Linked DNA regions of Astyanax mexicanus. The protein of the gene in region 1 interacts with the protein of each later gene in a pairwise test. Links are inferred from orthologs where the notes say so. Each region holds a gene or a part of one and is shown on either strand. Other genes may lie near its edges. The genes, in order: nudt18 and dut.

What was found.
Region 2: the proteins of nudt18 (region 1) and dut interact in binary tests that used the Homo sapiens proteins (3 or more experiments, as listed by UniProt). The two-hybrid records come from large-scale screens. The link is inferred for Astyanax mexicanus from reciprocal best matches to the Homo sapiens genes NUDT18 and DUT.

Annotation. Positions count from the first base shown.
Region 1 is NC_064419.1:30,329,963-30,340,621, forward strand, and holds the start of nudt18 (8-oxo-dGDP phosphatase NUDT18), read right to left. Parts: upstream 4,558-10,659; 5' UTR 4,340-4,557; intron 4,204-4,339; 5' UTR 4,113-4,203; coding exon 3,954-4,112; intron 2,608-3,953; coding exon 2,394-2,607; intron 1,179-2,393; coding exon 544-1,178; 3' UTR 1-543. Other genes in the region: adam9 (disintegrin and metalloproteinase domain-containing protein 9), read left to right, coding at 6,760-6,841. UniProt on the Homo sapiens protein: Mediates the hydrolysis of oxidized nucleoside diphosphate derivatives. Hydrolyzes 8-oxo-7,8-dihydroguanine (8-oxo-Gua)-containing deoxyribo- and ribonucleoside diphosphates to the monophosphates. Hydrolyzes 8-oxo-dGDP and 8-oxo-GDP with the same efficiencies.
Region 2 is NC_064416.1:43,817,385-43,827,869, forward strand, and holds the start of dut (deoxyuridine 5'-triphosphate nucleotidohydrolase, mitochondrial), read left to right. Parts: upstream 1-6,282; 5' UTR 6,283-6,576; coding exon 6,577-6,679; intron 6,680-8,752; coding exon 8,753-8,915; intron 8,916-9,894; coding exon 9,895-9,986; intron 9,987-10,485. UniProt on the Homo sapiens protein: Catalyzes the cleavage of 2'-deoxyuridine 5'-triphosphate (dUTP) into 2'-deoxyuridine 5'-monophosphate (dUMP) and inorganic pyrophosphate and through its action efficiently prevents uracil misincorporation into DNA and at the same time provides dUMP, the substrate for de novo thymidylate biosynthesis.

The DNA.
Region 1 (10,659 bases):
ATGACACCGGCTCCGGCACCAGCACTTTGTTGGTGGTAAAGAGGTATTTATGTCTTTAATACAGTGTAGTAATGCTGCATAGCGCATTTTGGCATGCTGAGGAATCGAAACAGTGCCTGGAGTCAATGCATTGACATGCGGTTCTAGTGTCAGTATGTGATTCACTGGTATAATTATAATATAACTTTCTTTCTGTGTCCTTTTCCTGTATACATTACATAAATATTTTTTCATAAAAACTGTGATTTCATTGTTTTTTTTTTTATACAATTCTAAAGCAGTGATGGATTTTTTTGAAATCAGCAAAGAAGTCTTCAACATTTCTAAAATGTCCTTATCCCATTATCCACTATAAACTCCGATAATATAGAACTCTGAAATCAATATGCAGTCTATTGCTCATTAGTTTGGTCAGATGAATGGTGTAAATGGCTTAGATAATAAGGTGTCGTTCTGCAACAGCTATTCCCAAAAACATCTTAAACTAACATCGGAGGCCATGTCCAACCATGCTTTACAGTCAGAAGATCTCAGTCCATCCCATCATCGAAGGCTGTATAAAGGTAGAAGGGAGTTATATTTTATTCTCTGCAGTATCTTTGTCCTCAGCCTTTGATTGATCACCTTATGCCATTTATATCTCTTATTCTCCAGTGGTGGTGGACTTTGATGATCTCCTGGAAACCCTTCTATATATTCCACCGTCACTAGTGTGTTCAAACAGAGCCCGTCTGTTTTGCCATGAACCCTCCCATTATGCTGCACGCTCAGGATCCCGCTGATGTCGACATGCAAGGCTTCACAAGGGACCATGCACTCCTGGAGCAATCTGCGGCCTGCCCATGTGACTGTGTGTTTTTTCACTGCTAGTGAAACAGGAAGGTGAGGGTGTGTCTCAGCATCACTGTCAGCAGAACCATTGCACAGCAGCAACCATACATTCTCTTCATTGTCAGGGTCACTGGGGGCAAAGACCAGAAGTATTCTCTGACAGACCACTTCACAGGGCAGGTCAGTGGGCAGACACACTGGGAACCACGGCTTCTGGTGGTACTTGAGGCCGGCCTCTATAAGGGTCAGGATGTCCCAGGCACGAAGAGGAAGATGTGCCTCTCGATCCCACCACTGAGCCTGCAGAGACTCAGAATCTGCTTCAGCCCTTGTCTTCAGACTGCCACCTGATGGAGGAGAGACAGTAGGACTGGTGTGAATAAAAGGATCTGACCACACCGGGACAAAATCAAAAATCAGCCAAGAATCATCCCAAACAGTTATTTAGCATGAATTTAATTCAGTAGTTGTGTATTATAGAGATATGAAACATAATGAAACCTTATACCCAGGGGTTCGAATTGGAAAGACCAATCAATCATTCGATCAACAGACTGTAGCTTCATTGTATATAGCAATGTATTTCATCAGCGCCAATCAATAACCTTAAATACCAAACAGCAACTTCACAGGAGAAGGACAAATCCTACCCAACATTCATGGTAAGTCAATGTACAAACACTTTCAGTCCGTAATTTTTTGTTGAGAAAGTGCAATTGCACTGAGCATACATAAGAGTACTTTTAAAATGTGCATTTCATAGCAGAAGAATGCAGTGGTTTTATCATCTTTCTTTGGTTTAACCATGCATGAATATGCAGATAGAGGCTGAGGTTGCTGTTCTGTTTCTCCACATTAGCAATCACTCTAGCAAAGTAGAAGCATTAGCAACGCTACTGTTGCTCAGGTAACCAACAAAAACTGTTGTGGCCAGAAAAAACTCTCGTAAAGACTTGCCAGACACCACACTGTTTTCGCCACTTGTCCCCTTCCACTTACCAAATACCACTGTGATTAATTTAAAAGAAAAGTAGTACTGAATAAAAAGTATTTTAAATGTTTAGACACTAGACGTACAGTATTTTAAGCCTAGAGGTTGTTAATTTCCACAATTCTACAGTTAAACTCACCATTTAAGGGCTCAAAGCATTATGTTTACATGCGGAAGAGTAATTCAAATTGCTTATTACTATTAGGTTAACAATAATTGAAAAGCTAATAAAGGATTAATAGCCAACTCATTATAAACAATGTCAGCTGGCTTTTGACATGAATGTTGGAAGAAAAAACCCTTTAAAGGTTTTTTGATTTCCCACCTCTGGAACATGTACTGATTTTTGACATAATAATGGGATATCTGCCATAATAGAATAATAATATTATAACTTATTAGAAATTTTGTTTTAACTACCATTACAATAATCAACATGTACAACCTACCAACTAATATCGTCATCATCATCATCATTTGCTCGCTGATCCACACCTATCATAGACCAAAGATATTCAGCTAGATCAGAGACCCTCTCTAGTACTGGTACCATGATTCACACCATCCTGACCTGTGATCTCAGCGAGGAAGGTGAAGCGGATCCACTGCGGGCCGCTTTCCTGCACCTGCAGCATGGTGACCGGCTGACAGTCCACTCCAGCCTCCTCTTTCACCTCCCTCTGCACAGCCTCCTCAATACTCTCCCCCGGTTCCATGCGGCCTGCGGGAAGGTACCACTGCCCATAGCAATCCTTCTTCGCCTCCTGCACCATCAGCACCTCCCCCTACAACCCATTAACACACACAGTTATATGTAGAGCCTTCTTTAGAGTGCATTATAGATTGTTTTAATCAAAGACTGGGCCAAATGTGTACCATCTGGATGCTTTTGAGGACTATGAGATCTGTAACTCTAATCTAATCTGAGGCCAGATTTATCAAACCTGTGTTCTTCTTGGACAGCAAATGGACAGAGTGACCTCAATGTGACCATTTGAGGATGAGATTGTGGGTGAGATGAAGTCTTCATTTGTAATTTAATTGTTGCTTTTAGGTGTAGGACCTTGTTAGTGCCATGTAGTTAAATTTGAGTGGGATAGTAGAGTATAGGAGAAGGAAATGGGCCCTATGTATAACACTAGTTTTTAGTTTTTAGGGATTTGCCATCTCCTACTACCTGCAACTAATTACACAGGAACACATTTGCCAGTGTTTTTCACAAATTATTTGGAGCTTGCACACTTTATAATTTTTTAAGCTAGCAGGGCGAAATTTTTTGTGTTTCTGGTCAATACACTTATTCTATAAAGCATGACACAAAGGAAAATATCAGGAGTGCCATATTGTGAACTAGAGTGTCTACTTAATTAACCAATGTTATATAATTAGCTAGTAATCCTAATGCTGAAACTAATGTGCATTACTTGGAAATGGTTTGTTTAGCATAGCCGGTGGAGTTCCAAAGGGTTCTACTGTATATTCTGCAGAATCTGTGCTATTTGCATCCCCAGTAAATTACATGTAGAAATGTGCACAAAAAATAACTGTAAAATACTTTTTACTATTAAGTCTTGTTACTTTCGGTCATTTAACTTATATAAAGAGTAACAGGACACATTTACACATTTGTTTAATAAATTGCATGATAATAAATGTTATCAATTTCAGGTTTGGGTCTAAGATAAAAATGGCTTTGTATATTTTAGAAAAAAACTGTGCATGCATATATAGTGATTATTTTATCGTGAGTTGTCATTAGATTTAATGTTGAAAAAACATAAGATAAGAAAATAAGTTAAAAGTTAAATAATATAGTTAAATAAAGTTAAATTTAGAAGAGTTGCTACTAGCAAATGGCATCAAGCCCAGGGCCTATTAAACTGATGTTAATCATGTTTTAACTGTAGCTAGTTAAGGACGTACAAGGCCGAAGAACTGAAGTGTGGGCTGCTGAACTAGTTTAGTACTGAACACAAAATAATGTATTTTCTAAGGTTATCTGGCATGCCACAGTTTAGAACCCCCTGTATTGGAAATATGGATGTAGGTTCTACACCACTCTTATTTTAGGGGATTTCATGTATTAAAACATACTTTAACATCTACATCCTAAAGAATGAGCCCACATTACCTTGGCATTGAAGATGACTGCAGCAACAATATAACAAACATTCGACCTAAGGGTGACAGGCTTCGGCTCCTCGGGGGTCCAGTCATATTCTGTGACCTCCAGTCCTTCACCGTTCAGGATCTTCTCCACGGTTTCTTCTTCAAGTCCCTCAGAGCCCATATTGCTGATTGGGACACCGCCAACTACAGCCAATTCAGTTTCACTTTGGTTCAGCGCCGTGCTGAGCTAATGCCTCAACCACCGGCCAGTTCTGCTCGCCGATAAAAAAAACAAGAGCATAAAATATATGTTATATCGCTTTTATTACGAATTAAAAGTTATATCAGCAAATTGTTATCAAAATGTTAACCATAAAAAGCGAAATGCGCATAGCTGTGTATACGTACCCACAACAAGCCTGCCTGTACGCAAAGCGCTGCTAGCTGCAATGCTATTGGCTGTAAGAGTAAGGGACCGGGGTTAAATGACCAACTTGTTTTAAACAACGCACATACTTTATGACTTATTTTCATTTTGGGATAAAAATACGTACTCAATATCGGAAAATAATACTGATAATAGAGATTAACTACTGTTGCTAAACAGAAACAACGCTTTAGCAAAGTTATAAGACGGATCTAATATCGAACCGCTAGATGCAATTTTACATAGTTTTGAGTACACCCCTACTTTCCCAAACAAACTGGGGCGAAGAAACCTAGTCATACTAGCTTTTCGAGATCTTACCGCAGAAACGCAAACACAACTGTAGCGTTAACTATAACGCTTGTGGACATGGGTTAAAATGCATTTATCTGTACTTATACTTAACGAGCCCAGGAGTTTTGTACCAAAACTGCGTTAGAGAAGTAAAAAAAAATGTTAGGGACACCGATGGGTGCATGTCAAATTGGCGTGTAGTTCCCTAGATAGTTAACAAGCTGAAGTAAAAGTGTAACTGATAATACCTTAAAGGATTTGACAGACACTCTTATTTAGAGAAACTTACATTTACACTGTATGGGAGTGTAGTTGGATCCTTATTTGCAGCTTCTGATACATTTAGAGCCTTATTTGATGCATTTACATTGATAGGTAAATGTGAAGTTATTGGTGTAGTGTCCTTGTGGACACATGGTAGACCACCTAAATGATGTTCCAGTTATTGTTGGCTACAGTAGTGGAATTCAACTGCTCAACTACCTGAACATATTTAAACCAGTGATATTTTTGCCTGGTCCAGCTAAATATCTGTTTGACGAAGAACCAGCAAATATTCAACCAATGATCATCTGAAGTCAGTCACCCTCAAAAGTTAGCCTAAGCTGTATTTTCTACATTAATGTCCAATTCCATGCAATCACATAATTATCAGCCAGTCAGGTATTTGATTGCCCATGAAAATCCATGAACTGTTAAGTATAAATATTAGTAACAGTCTAATGTTGCATTCAGGTTCACTTAGGAAGCTTGGTTCTTACATCTTTTGAGCTCATAAATTTACGACATGATTTCTTTACAAGTAGTTTAGGTAACACAAACATCCTATATATTGTTTTTTTTTCTTTTATGTATCTGTGTTTTTCTTTTACCAACAAAAAACAAGTATGTTCAGTTAATGTAATCAAAACAAACTTATAAACAGCAAAGTATCCAGTAGAAGTATCAGTAGCATATTGCAGTTGCTGTTATTGAAACAGCCCTAACTCTTAAAGGTACTGAGAAAAAAATCCCTGTTTTTCACTGGAAAATTAGAAAATTTTGGTGGTATTCATGTACAATAATCTTTATGACTGTGTATTAGCAAAAACCTAGAGATACAATAGGTGTCATTGCAGTTATGATTTAATATATTGCAATACAGTAAGCATCGTGATATTTACAAACAGCTCTGTAAATAAAAAAGAGGCCACTTAAAAATGATACATTTCTTTGATTTTACCAAATTGTAAACCTCTGGAATATAATCAAGAGGAAGGTGAATGATCAAAAGCCATCAAACTGCTTGAATATTTGCACCAGGAGTGGAATAAAGTCATCCAAAGGCAGTGTATAAGACTGGTGGAAAAAACAAGGGTTATTCTACCAAATATTGATTTCTGAACTCTTAAAGCTTGAATATGAGTATAAGTTTATTTTCTTTGCATTATTTGAGGTCAAAAAGCTCTGCATCTTTTTTGTTATTTCAGCCATTTCTTATGTTTTGCAAATAAATGCTCTAAATTACAATATTTTTATTTGGAATTTGGGGGAAATGTTGTGCATAGTTTTGTAGAATCAAACAACAATGTTAATTTTACTCAGATATATACCTATAAATAGCGGATTTAGAAACTGAAGTGGTCTCTTTTTTTTTCATAACTGTATTTTAAAACCACACATTCACTCAGTACTGAGAGTAGGGATTAGGGCGTAGGGAGCCACTTTGTGTAGAGGGCATTGTTAAATGAGATGTTCCCATTGTCGACCTCTGTCGTCGGTCTGGGCTTCATTGCAAATTCACGTCCGACCCTCATGAGTCTACAAGCTTTCTGTCGGATAAGCCAGCAGTCCCATTTCTGAGAGGATTACTTTGAAAACAGTCGCCTGTGTGGAGGAACATGCTTATCTCAGCAAGCTTTAACTGAAAGAGGCAGAGCGGAGATGAAAATGAGCAGGTAGCTGAAGTTCTTTACGGCTGTTTTAATTTTTTACCTCCTGATAGGAGCGTTATGTGGAGTCCAGCGGGCTCTTTGCCATTGCTGGGAAGGCGACGCCTGGATAAGGAAAAGCTACCAGAAACTGACTGTTAAAAATCCTCAATTCACCGAATTATTTTGGAGAAATAATGGCTGTTTTACAGTCTTCTCTTCGCATTCAGGCAGCGTGTGTCCTGTTTATGCTCTTCCAGCTTTGGGACTGCAGCGAAGGTAAGTAAACAGTAAACACTGGGGAGCTCCATGTCGGCTTTTTACAAGTTTCCGGTCCACCTTAAATAGTGCAGCAGTTTTACACAGCCTCGCGTCAAGGCGCCAGACCGTTACTATAGCGCTTTTTAAGGTGGAACGGAACATTCGAAGTTGAACCTTCTCAACACTGTTACAGTTTGCAGAAATCAGTGTTTTTGTTATTATGACGAGGTTTTATTTCTGTTCCATCTTTCTGAAACATTTTTTAGTAAAAACTTAAGAATATTAAGCTGTTATTTTAATTTGTATTAAACTAAAAGTTTGGGACACTTTATATATCTAGGATAGTTAACTGTTAACTAGCTACGTTAACAGTAACATTTTGAAGACTGGAAATACCTTTACCAAGACAAAAAAGAGAGAGAGAACAAATTGGGAAAATTGCTTTTTAGGTTTGTTTGTACATTTTTATATATTTAAATATATTTGACCATTTAGTCTTTTGTATGGTAGAGATGTTTTTACTGTAAGCAGGATCACGTCTAGTCTACACACAGACTTGTGCTATCTCTGACTGTAGGAATAGCAACTATCTAACCTACACGTTTAAGAAGCTTACAGGTGCTCTGTAAAAGCTTATGTGTGTTAATGCTCAATGTCTGCATAGTGAGACTACACATAGACTAAGGACACACATATCCTGTATTTCATTTTTTTGTAAAGTATTGATAATTTGTTGTAATATAAGAGAGACCAGGGGTGGTCATTAATTTTTCCAAGGGGCCATAAAATACACTGAAACTGTTTTGGAGGGCCAGACCAACAGATTCAACCCAATGTGTCTCAGTGTTATTTTTTATTTTTACAACAAGACTAACAGGCCACTTAAAATGACAAGTTTCTTTGATTTTATCACATTAAAAACCTCTGGAATATAACCAAGAGGAAAATGGGTGATCACAAGCCATCAAACCAAGCTGAACTGCTTGAACTTTTGCACCAGAGGTGGCATAAAGTTATCCAAAAGCAGTGTGTAAGAGGTTGAGGAGAACATGCCAAGGTGCTTGAAAACTGTCATTAAAAACCAGGGTTATTCCACCAAATATTGATTTCTGAACTCTCAAAACTTTATGAATATAATCTTATTTTCTTTGCATTATTGGAGGTCTTATTTCAGCCATTTCTCCTTTTCTGACAATGACAATATTTTTACTTGAAATTTGGGAGAAATGTTGTCCGTAGTTTATAGAATAAAACAACAATGTTCATTTTACTCAAACATATACCTATAAATAGCAAAATCAGAGAAACTGATTCAGAAACTGTGCTCTCTTATTTTTTTTCCAGAGCTGTATGTCGAAAAGAATACTGACGGTGTTCTAATTCGTGAACTTGCTCTACTTAAATGCTTTGCAAATAAAATGGGAAATTCTCCATGTCATATGCCAAGCAACATCAGCATTGTGAAGCAGTGGATCTGCATTTTGTGGTGATCTGCTCTGATGGAGCTCCTTCCATTGCTATTTGTATAAATGAAGTGGCAAAACTGATCATCCAACAACATCACTGATCCTCTCAGAGGTTCAGGATCTATTGTAAAGCCTTCCTAAAAGAATACTGGCTGTTATTGCAGCAAACTGGGACAAACTCACTATTAAACTCCTTAATTTAAGAAGAAATTTAAGAAATGGTGGATGAACAGGGGTCTACAACCTTATCACCAGTGTTTTTCAGAGAATAGGGAAGTGGAACTTCTTAGTCTATCCTGCGTCTGTCAGCAAGTTTATTAGGCTTTGTTGTTCTCTTTGTGGATCCTTTTGGTATAAAGATAAAAGCCTGAAGCTCTAAGTTAAAGTGTGCAAACAACAAACAATAAAGCGGCAGAAAACAACAGAATGCCATTAAATCCAAAAAAATGTATATTTGTATTTGTTTAGTTATATTGCCTCCGTCCCTTAGTATTGTTAAGTAAAGATTACGCATTCATACATGCTTAATGTTTCTCATGATTAATCTGAAAATCATGAGAAATCATATCATGTGACCAAGTTTACAGAGATTGGTGATGAATTAACAGTAATATTTAACAATATTTAACAGTGTCACTACTACCGGTAGCAGAGACTGTAGCATCCTCTCACTTGCTGTGCACATCCTGATTGTAACTGCAGGATTAGTTCACAGAAAGTGAAAGTTGGACATCACTTACTTAAGTCTCGTCTCTGAGGGAAACCGTGTGTAACAAGACAGAAATTGAACATTCTTAATACAATGTTTGCAAAGTGGGGGTTATTGTTTTCCTGTACTAATGCCAGCACATAGTCTGGGATTAGAGTGAGAAAGAGGCTGATGGCTGGCTGCTGGTGCATTTCCATAGCCAGTAAATCACACTGTGTGGTAATGAAAGCAGGGGACTTTGGGACACTTTACTGCTTACATTATCCATTTTCTCTCAGCATGACAGGACACAACCATTCAATTACTCACATTTAGCCTTAAAATTGTCCCAAGCAGTGATCCTTTACACAAAATGAGCATACAGCACTCTTAACACTATATATAAATGCGTGGAGAAACTGAGTCATGTTAAAGCGTTCAGAGCCATTTAAAAAAAGAACATGTTCAGGCTTTGCTGTCTGTTGTTCATCACTGGATATTGCCTCTATTGTTCCAGACCTGTAGGACACCTTAAAACTATATACCAGGGCTGTGTATTGGAGTCTTAGAAGCAGTCTATTTTGTATTTGTAAGTTGCTGTTGTTTACAGGTTTACAGATTTTCTATGCAGTTACATTTATACTAAATAAACAATAAGTAACATTTATTTTGTTGCAATTGTTTGTTCCTGAAATATTAATAAATTAATAAATATTTATAAAAAAAGTACCCTTAAATGAACACACAGCAAAATTGACAGTGTTAAATGAACTCTTCGAAAGTTAATTCAACACCATATGGAGCCATATATTAACTTTCTTTTTTTTAAGTTAATTTTAATTTATTTTTGTATATTTTCTGAACTTCACCCAAAAATACAGTATATACCATAACATTACAGTATATATAAAGCATAAAATGTGAGCTACACCATAGAATAAATTCCTTTTTTATCCTATCTAAGCTTTATTTAGAATAAAAGAGACGAGAACTGCCAAAAAAGCAGTGATTCTTCCGTAACACAATAACTCTTGGGTGAAGACCCTTATCCACCATCTAACCCAAAACCAAGAGGGTAGATAAAACTTTATCAGGACAACCACTACAACACACACACATGCTGACTGAATAACTCTGAATACTACCACCAACTCTGTGGATTGTTTACTACTGAGGGTTGTTAGAAAAACAAACTCCTAGAGTTGAAAAATGTTTACACTGTGATTTTAACACTGTCCATTTTACTGTGCATGTTTTTTAGGGCCAAATCATCACCTATTTCTTTACTAATTAAACGAAAAGTTCACTGTTATGTAGTCATTTTATGCAGTATGTTTAGACAAAAATGCCAAAAAGTGTTGCCAATATAGGGGGTGTTCTGGGGAGCTGGGCACGAGTCTGAGGTCATCATGCCCAGAGTTTGTGAAGCTCTCCAGTAAAGGACAGTGGAGCAGTGGGCTGTAAAGTAGATGAAATTGGAGTAGAAACGTATAGAACTTGACATGTGTCATGATTACTGCAGTTTAGGTATGTGAGCGGTATATTGCTTGGGGTGAAAAATGCTTAAATTTGTTCAGAGGGTTTATACAATGCATTGTGCTGCTTTATCTAGATTTTGCCCTGTCCAGGAAAACAGCAGGACCCCGGTCCTCTGACTGCTGACTAATAGCTCTGTCAGAGCG
Region 2 (10,485 bases), on another chromosome or scaffold:
ATGGTAAATGTAAGCTATAATAAATATCTAACAAAAATATATAAAAAATATATGAAGTAGAATGTAGTAGAGTGGACAGTGGGAGTGAGTAATTTAAGAAGTTATGAATGGTATTCTAGAATGTCTCATATTTTTGCATTGTAGGCTTTTGTATAAAAAATGTATCTTTGGGGTTGGTCTTAATGTTATTAATGAAACTTAATAAAATGTATCTCTATGGGGCTTTTTGAACTTTTCAATGTTTATTATTTTGTTCACTGAAATGTACACAATAAAAAACCTTAAAGATCTGTCAGTCATGCCCGTCAGTTTGTTCTTTTAAGTAACTAAGGGCGTTTTCATACCTGTAGTCGTGAAAGTTTTTATGATCTGGATCAGTTGATGAGTTTGTTTATTTGGAACGTTTCTTCCTCTGTTTGGTTTGGTTTCACACAGGCATAAACCTAAACACATTAAAATGCGCACCAATAAACCACGCAAGCACATTGTCTCCTCTGTCTGGCGAGCAGTGTGGCGTGGGAGCAAAAAAGTAAATATAGTGAGAAGATTCTGTGTTACAGCGCATAGATCTGTGCAGTTCAAAGCTGCTTTAACACAGAACACAGTGTTTTTTTTTTTTTATGGGAGTGCAGTGCGGTAAGCAGTGAACGCATCATAGATTTGGCGTGAAAACAGCACGGAGCAGCAGAGACAGCGTTTGTTCAAAGTTGTGGTAATTAGAATGATCTAGCTAATGCATCATATTAATCTGCGCCTTACCAGCAGTTAAGCTCAAATAAATATAAATAAGAGTATATTTGATAGCTGAGTTGGATTGAGACCGGATCTGTCATGGTAGGGGTGTGGGAGGAGCCAAGTGCAGCGATATAACGAAAAGGGGTTTTACTATAATTGTGTGTGCATAAAAGAAAAAGGGGAAAATAATTTCGGCGCAACAAAGCTAACTAAATAATGCCTCCGTTTGAAATAAAAGAAAGACAGAAATAGAAACAGAAATCAAGAAAATAAAAATATTTTCTTTTCTCCTCAGCCTTGCAGGCGTTCCCTTATCTTTTCTTTCTTGCCTGGCAAGCTTTCTTTTATTTTCTGTTCTCTTATTTTGTTTTCTTTTCTTCCTTTTCTTTCTTTCCTTTTTCAGCCTTGCAAGCTTCCTCTTATTAATTAATTTATTTATTGCTTCTTTTCAGCTTTGCAAGCTTTCTTTTATTTCTTTTCAGCCTTGCAGGCTTTCTTCTTTTATATATTTATTTATTCTTTCTTTTCAGCTTTGCAAGCTTTCTTTTATTTCTTTTCTTTTCAGCCTTGCAGGCTTTCTTTTATTTTTTCTTTCTTTCTTTACAGCCTCACAGGCTTTCCTTTATTTTTTATTTATTCTTTATATATTTTTTTTCTTTTCAGCTTTGCAAGCTTCCTTTTTTTCTCTCTCTCTCAGCTCTGCAAGCTCTCTTTGATTTCTTTTCTTTTCAACCTTGCAAGCTTTCTTTTATTTTTTCTTTTCAGCTCTGCTCCGTGGAGCTACCGTTCACCGGTCACAGGGCATGAAGTCTGCGACATCAGTCTGCTGGAAGCTCGCCTTTTTAAAGACGGTACCACAGCTGAGGCTGATGACACGTTATTGGCTTCAGGTGGCCTTAATGATCCCTGTTCTAATGAACTCTCAGCCGGTTCCCTTCTTACCACCTTGGTGCGTTTATGGCGGCCTCTGGTGGCCGCTGCGGGAACTGGCTGAGCCCTAACAAGATCACGTTCTCAGCACAAGTGAACACAAGCTCCAGAGTTTGTTTAGGACCGGAGATAGAGCAACTCCTCTAGTAGATCTCTCTCTGGTTGTTTTGATCCAAACCAGAGTGTGATTACTGTTTTCACACCTGCTCAATCGAACCGAACCGTTTCAACCAGACCAAATAGTGCTTGTGTGAAAATGCCCTTTCACTTTGACTTCTAAAGAAATGTCTTGAAGAAACGTCTTATGTGCACTGACACACCAAGGTTATAATAGTTTAGAATTTTTAATTATAGTTTATATTTTATTTCGTTTTGACTTTCTCCCCTTCCCAGTTATTTTTAGTTTTTTTTATAGCAGGTTTGCTAATTTTTATTACTATTTATTTTTTATGCATTTTTTATGTTTTCATTAGTTTTAGTATTAGTTTTTTTTTTTATATCTAGGGTTAATTTTGAGATGCAGGATTCAAAAAGGTATCATGTAATACCTTTTATTTACACATTACAGTTGAATAGCCAGCAGTCCACAAGATATCAGCCTTAAAGCAACATGTAAAACTGCTGCTTAAAATAGCCAATAGAATACACATGAACATGAAACACACACCACACCAAAGAGCTCAATCTGAGAAATACATACACTCAGAAACACAATAAACTCTACAGGGTTCACTCATTTTGACCAAAATTACCAACTCAAAAATAATACTGGTAAAGCTTTTTACCATATCAGAACAGCAGAGCTAACTATACTATACCTCACATGTTTATATAACATCAGAACGTAAACACAGTGATCTCAGCTGTCTGAAATACACTTCTTTTAGAGAGTATGTGTGTGTGTGTGTGTGTGTGTGTGTGTGTGTGTGTGTGTGTGTGTGAGTGAAATATGAGATATTAAAACGCCCAATATGTTAACTTACTTACTGTGGCAGATGAACACGGACCTCTGGCGCTGTTTACAAACCATCACTGATTGGTGGAAACTTCACTCTAAACCTCAAGCAGTTTGGACTGTGTGTCTCTCCACTCTTCCTCCAGACTCTGATCCCTTGATTTACAAATGAAATGTAACATTTACTGATGATCAGTGATGGTTTGGAGAGACATGTCTGTCATCTGCTGGTGTTGATCCACTGTGTTTTATTATCAAGTCTAAAGTCAGTGCAGTTTTGTTTTCCCACAAAATCTTACAGCACGTCATGCTTCCCTCTGCTACTGACAACTTTTATATAGTTGCGGATTTCATTTTCCAGCAGGACTTGGCACACTGCCTGCACTGAAAAAAGTACCAATTGGTCTTATATAATATTCTGATTTTCTAAAACACTTATTTTTGGGTTTTTATTAATATTATAATTAATAATAATCAATAAAATAAATAAATGCTTAAAACAGATCACTCTGTGTTTAATACATCTATATAATATATTTGAACTGAAATACTGAAATAAAGTAACTTTTTAATTATATATTTATTTTTTTAGATGTACATATATCATTATTTGGTGGAATAACCCTGGTTTTTAGTAACAGTTTTCATGCATCTTGGCATGTTCTCCTCCACCAGTCTTACACACTGCTTTTGGATAACTTTATGCCTGGTGCACAATTTCAAGCAGTTTATATTGATTATATTCCAGAGGTTTTTAATTTCAAGTATTTCTTCGGGGGATCAAGTATGTCTAAAGCACATAAAATATAAACCCTGTACATCAGCTAATGTAGCACTTATATACCACACAATAACCTTTATTGTCATAAATAATATATTATACAGCAAAATCCACAGTTAATCCTGCAAAACCACAAAGACACAATGCTACTGGCTGCTCTCTTTTATAAGCTTTCTTACCATTACATTTTAATTTATATTTTACTGAATCTCTCCCACAGGAATAATTTATTATTTAATTCTAAACAAATAGAAAATAAAAATGTAACTGAAAATCCCTGTAGAAAAGGCGTTTGTCCCTCATCTCATCCACATATTTTGACACTGGAACTACAATATTAAATGTTAAGGGGAGATATGTAGGAATGCATTTATACAGCTCGGCTAAAGCCTTTTAAAAAAGCTTAGCTATTGTTACTTTTTTAAAGTAGCTGAATAAAAAGAAAATAAAGAAAATAAGTCTTACCTTAAAAACGTGTAATACACCAGCTTTTGGTTTCTTATTCACATTTACCTTCCACCTTAAAACACATTTCAATTCTACCTTAACAGTTTCCCTGCATTAAAACACATTTTCTCTACGTTAAAACACAGTTTCCTCTTTAGACTGTAGTAGATGATAAAGTATTTTAAGAGTTTTACACGTTCAAATAAAACAGAACGTGGATTCCCATTTAAATCTTCTGTTCCACCTTAAAAACGCCAAAAATACCATCTACAGCCTGAAGCCTGAGTGCCGCGACAGCAGCATTTAAGGTGGGATGGTAAATTAGCAGCATTTAAGGTGAGATAGCTCATTCATGTGAGTTATTTATGTAGGGAAAAGTGTGTTTAAAGTGCTTATTTAAGAAAGAAAAGTAGATAGAAGCTACTTACACGTAATGCTGTAGCTTGAGCAGCGTGTGTACCACCTTAACTTAGACTCAATTAGCCACCTGAGCATTAAAGAGGCAGCAGCAGGTAAAGGAGAGGAATGATTATTATTAAGATGGAATGGTATGATCCACTTTAGGGGGGCTTTGAATTGTATCAGGCATAGATACTGCATTGTGTTGTAGTCTTTAACATTATATGTAAGAGATTTATTTAAATGTGTTGACCCCCCAAAGCTATTTTTTGCTTGTTTTTTAATAAAGGAAACAGTAGTTCTTTGCAGACGAGAAGGGTATAGCTGCAGCCTCGGAGACTGCTATTTTCGGGACCGCAGTTCTAGGACCCTAAATTTAATGTATTCAATTATTTAGATGTTTTGAATAAGACGTTTTTTTTTTGTTTTGTTTTTTTTACAATTAATAACATTTTGTGCGTGTTTGTATTTTAATAGTTGAATTTGGCTGGATTCTGTCAGAAACCTGTAAAGAAATCATTGGGATTTAAACCTTTTTACACATTTCCTTACCTATAATACTGAAATACAAGTAGGTTATGTTTGTACCATCTTTAATATAAAGCTGCATGAAGGGGGCTGCTTACTATTCTTAAAAAATAAAAATAAAGAAATAAAATTAAATTTAAACGGAACAATAGTTTTACCTCATTTCAAATGGTGCTGTCTGTTTACAAATAAAAAAATATGTATAAGAACTGAAAATTGTAAATCGTAATCAGAATTGAGAATTCCTTATATATTTGTAGAATATTAAGGGTTTTTTTTACAATATCACCCAGCTCTAATAGACACTAGAGTAGTTTGAAGTTCCAAAAAGATTTCGATTATAGCCCTATGTCTTCTTTGTGTCTCTGATATGTGGTTGGGAGTTCTAAGACAAAGTAATATTTGGGTGAAATAAGCCTTTAAATCTGTAGTTAGCTGAAGTGGTAATATTTGGGTGAAAAGTGATGATATTATATGAAGGAGTAGTAAATCATTAATTTTGCTAGGTGACAGTGTCGTGAAAACAAATGGTCCTAGAACAGCGGTCCTGAAACTGCAGTCTCCGAGGCTGCAGCTATATACTATTGGGCTGCGTCCAGAAACCCCAAAAGTGTCTCCTTTTTCCTACCGATCCTCCTCCTCTCCTCCGTGACCCGGAAACTGATTTCGTGACGCCATCTTGCCGCCTGTCCGAATACCGTAGGAGATGAAAGAAGCCGCTTAAAATCAACCTGTAGTAGGCTTCCAACGGAGGGTACATCAGTGTATCCTAAGACTTTTAAGGATTTTCCAATGACATCACTGAATCCACGCCCACAGAGCACGCGAAAATGGAGAAGGCAACGCCCAAATATACGTCATAAACATATTAATTAACTAGGTTCCTTATCTAATTAAACAGCCAGTAAAGCAGTAATATAATTTATAGTTTAGATAAACTGTATGCTCAGTAAAACTATATTTATGACCCTATGTGTATCATGTTATACATACAAAAACATATATATATATATATATATATATATATATATATTTTTTTTTTTTTTTTTTTTTTTTAATTAATTCATTTATTTACTTATTTATTTTAACTTAGGGACTGATGTGGAAACTGAAACCCTCATAAGGCTGAGGTCAGACAGGGCTGCCAGAGTCACTGGTCAGAGATGCGGCTGGGAGTAAAGAGGATTTTATTGGAATATTTGAATTTTTAGCTGTGTGAGATAGTAATGTTCTGAAACGTGCTGAAAGTGTGCGTTGTGATTGGTTCACTTTAACGGTAGTCAACATCCTATCTAAAAGGGATCAGCTTCCCTCCATTCCTCCTCCTGCTCTCCTCTCCTCGATTCCTCCACCTTCTTCCGGGGTAGGAGAGGAGGAGTAGGAAAGGAAGAGTAGGAGAGGAGGAGTAGCAAAAGTTTCTGGACGTAGCCTTGGTTGCAGACAGCAGCAACTGGGATAAATGCAGACAGGGGGCAGTAGAGTTAAGTTTTTGTCCATTTGACTGGAGCAGAAGAAGCGGAGCGGATAAACATAAATATTCAGAAACGCGTGCTGTCTGCAGGAGAGATCGGAGGATTAGTAAACTGTAACTGAGACTTTAACTCAGTCTGGAAACGTCTGCCGCTGGATCAGACCTGGGGAATATAACCTACAGACACAGCGAGAGAGAAACACACAGACACCTGTCTGTCTGTCTGACAGTCAGTGTGACCAGAGCTCTGATGGAGTGATCTGGGATCAGGAGGCAGGAGACAGCAAGGACAGCAAGGACAGCAGTGGGACAGTAAACCCTGGAGACAGTATGATTCCCCTGTTTTCAATGAGAGCTGCTGCCTCAACACGGAGACATTATCATTATTTATGGAGCTCATGTTCTTCACACTCCTCCTCTCACACAGGGACAGGTAACTGAATTTAATCATGTTGTTGTTGTTCCTTTTGCAAATATCATTATATTTTTATATTACATGAGCTAGACTGTTAGAGAACCACAAAACCGGTGTTGTGTCGATTTGTGCTACCCTGATAAACCCTGCTGCAGTAGTGTAGCTAGCTATGTTTACTGATAAATGTTCCTAACGTAGAATAAAAGCATCAGATCTGAATTTGAACCGACATATTTTTCTACCACTCAAACAAATTATATAAATATAATCTTAGCTCATAATCAACCCAATGAATTAATATAAACACTTTAAAACATATAACGTTAAACGTGATAAAAAATCGACAGTACACGTGCAGGTAAATGTAGATACAGTTTTTTTTTTTGTTACGAAAAGATGCGACACAGTTATACAGTGTGAACAGTCGCTCAGATTATGAGCTAAAGTATAAAATGCGTAAAGTTCTGTGGTTTAATCTTAGATTTTATCTCCATAAATTAGCCTGCTGCTGTGCATTATGGGTGATACCACAGAAAAAGAGAGAAGAGTGCCCACTTTTCAGAATCTCTTCCAGGTTTGTGTCACAAATAGAGTGCGCTCCGCACCAAAATGAATGAGTTTAAGTGCAACAGAGTTTATTAATGTTTAATAATTTATATAATATACTATAAAATAATATAATATATGTACACATTTTTTGTTTATTTTTAACATGATATGGGCTTCCTGCTCATGAACCTCATAAAAACAGGAATTAAAAAAATAATAATACTGTGGAGAAATCAGCTCAAACTAACTTCAGTTTTCTCACCTGTCTTCCACCAAACTGTTGGCCTTTGATTCCTAAATTTAAGGCACGCTTTACTTTCATCAAAAAAGAGGACCTTGGACCACTGGTCAACAGTCCAGCCCTTCTTCCCCTTTGCCCAGTTGAGATGCTGCTTATGTTGTCTCACGTTTAGAAGTGGCTTGACCCGAGGAACCTGACAGCTGTAGTCCATCTCCCGAATGCGTCTGAATGTGGTGTTTTTTAAAGCTGGGACTCCTGCCTCATTTCACTCTTTCTGGATCTTTGTCAGATTCTTGAATCTTCTCTTTCTGATAATCTGCTGAAGCCTTGGTCATCTCTTTAGCTGGTGCATCTTCTCTTGCCACATGTTGTCCTTTGATATGCTTGGACACAGCACTCTGTAAACAGCCAGCCTCCTTTGCCATGAACTTTTGTGGCTTACCCATCCTGTGAAGGGTATTAATGATGGTCTTCCGGCCAGTTGTTATGTCTGCAGTTTGCAGACAATTGAACCAAACTGAAGCAATTTAATAACACCTGGGGAAACCTGTGCAGGTGCTTTGAGTTTAGTAGGTGATTAGTGTGTCACACTCATTTTAAAACATTCATGCCCTGCAAAATTTGGGCTGATTTCTTTACTATATTCAATTTTTTTGAATTCATGTTTTTTAGGGGTTTTATGAGCTGGAAGCCCAAATTATTTAAAAATAAAGAAACAAATATTTGATATTTGAAATCTTTTAAATTGTGGGCCCTAAATCTATAATATATGAAATCTATGAAAGTTTAACTTGTTGAATATTTTGATATTCTATTTTTTAATTATTTTATTATTTTTTTATATGTATGTATGTATGTATGTATGTATGTGTATGCACATTTTCTTTGCTTATTTTTTAGCAAAATACATTAAGTTTTTTCATGCATATTTTTGTGTGTTTTTAGCCGTGTTACTCCATTTGCCTCCATTAATTTTGCACTCTCTTGCGGACTCCCTCTAGCGGCTCGCGGTCATTTTTTTTCCATACAGAAAGTGGGCAGTCTCTTCATAAACCCGCTCTGGTGTTGCGTAATAGACGAATGCTCGAGCTTGATTGGCTGAACCTGAGCGCGAGCGGGGTCTTAAACACGTTCAAGGGTCTAGCGGGAATTACAAACCGCCGGAAAAACTAAAAGCAGCAACAGAAGAAGCTCCTCGCGCTGCGCGGTTTATTTATTAAGTGTCGCTGGTTTTAATGCTGTAGTTTAGATTAATATTATTATTTTATTTTAACACGCGCTCTCTCGCTCCGCTGTAACAGAGAAGATGCCCTGCTCTGATGGAACCGAGGCCTCCGCCGCCGCCGTCTCTCCGGCGAAGAAGAGCCGGATCGAGGAGGGGGTGCTGAGATTCGCCAAGCTGACCGAAAACGCCACAACCCCCACCCGCGGCTCCAGCAAAGCGGCGGGCTACGACCTGTACAGGTAACTAAACACACACCGACAGAGAGAGAAGAAAACACGGGTTTAATAGGGTTTTATTAACTGTTTGTTTATCTACTCTCCGAAATACTGGAGCGGAAACGCTGCTACTCTAGCTAACAGTCTGATAGTGTTGTCATAGCGACACATGGTTTTGTACAAACGCTAAAATTAAGATTAAAAGTGTTTTTAGAGATAATTTTGGGTTAAAAAACGTTAATAATAAAAATCATAACAGCGCTGTTTGGCGCTGTTGCTTTTATTGTTGTAAAATGAAGCCCAGTATTTGGCGGGAATTTTTGGGCCCTATTTTACCCAATCCTATTCATTGTTCTGTAGGTAGAAGTATAGATAAAGTTACTGGTGTTTAAAATAACGTTAACTTACTTCTGTAGAAGTTAAACAAGCGTCAACTCAAGCTTTTAACTCCAGTAAAAGTAAGAGTTAAAGTACTGCTTTCATAACTACTTAAAGTATAAAAGTAACGTAAGGTGGAAAACGTGCCGTTAAGGACAATCATGAGGAGAAGCTGAAATGAAAACGAGCTGACATGAAATTGGAGTAACGAGGCTATTTTTAAAATATTTTAAAATTTAAAAGGAGAAGAAAGTTTTAGATAATTGTGTGAAAATGTAAGAAGTAGAAGTTACAAGTTTACTGTAAAAAATAATCCTGTAAAGTATAGAAAACCAACATTTTTCTAATTTAAAGTAACAGTATTTCTACTTCATTACTTGACATGATTTTACCTTATTTTAGTTCACTTTCCATTATAATTGTGCACTAATGTGGGCTGATTTGTCTTCTAAAGGAACAAGCTAACACTTAACTACACTACACTACACTGATGTGATGTTTTGGATTAGTCAGACACTCTGGCAGAGCTACAGAAACAGGTTTATCTGATTAATCTGTATCATTTAAACTGTATGCAGAACTATCAGACTTTTCATGAATTTCACACTGATTATTTGTGTTTCAGTGCGTATGATTACTCCATTGGACCTATGGATAAAGCTATTGTAAAGACAGATATTCAGATTGCTGTACCACATGGCTGCTACGGCAGAGTCGGTGAGTTGATGCCTTTTTTATTAATGTTTTTGCACCTTGAATACATAAGTTCTGGTAATGTACGTCTCGTTTTAAAGCAAGGCTGGGATGTTTATCATTACAGAATAACATTTTAGCTATTAATTTTTTAAAAATTCATATACATTAAGTTATATGTAGTTTAGGCTCTCCTGGAAAAGAACATATGGCCTTAACTCATGTAAATTGTTTGTAATTTTCTGATAAGTCTACATGATCTACATCAAAAGAATTCTAATAAACCATTAATCACCTTACAGGGCACTGCATGTCAGGTCACTGCATTCAAGCTAAGCACAAAATAATACTAATCCACTGTTCATCCTGTAGGGATGGGATGATGAGGATCTATAGTAAAAGCATGATCTTTCAGACCTCGTTACAGTATTTTTCTGCACATAAAATTAACAATTATTTATTTTTTAACACACGAATGATATGTGAACTTGGGTCAGTGTTTAGGGACAGTTTATCCTCCATA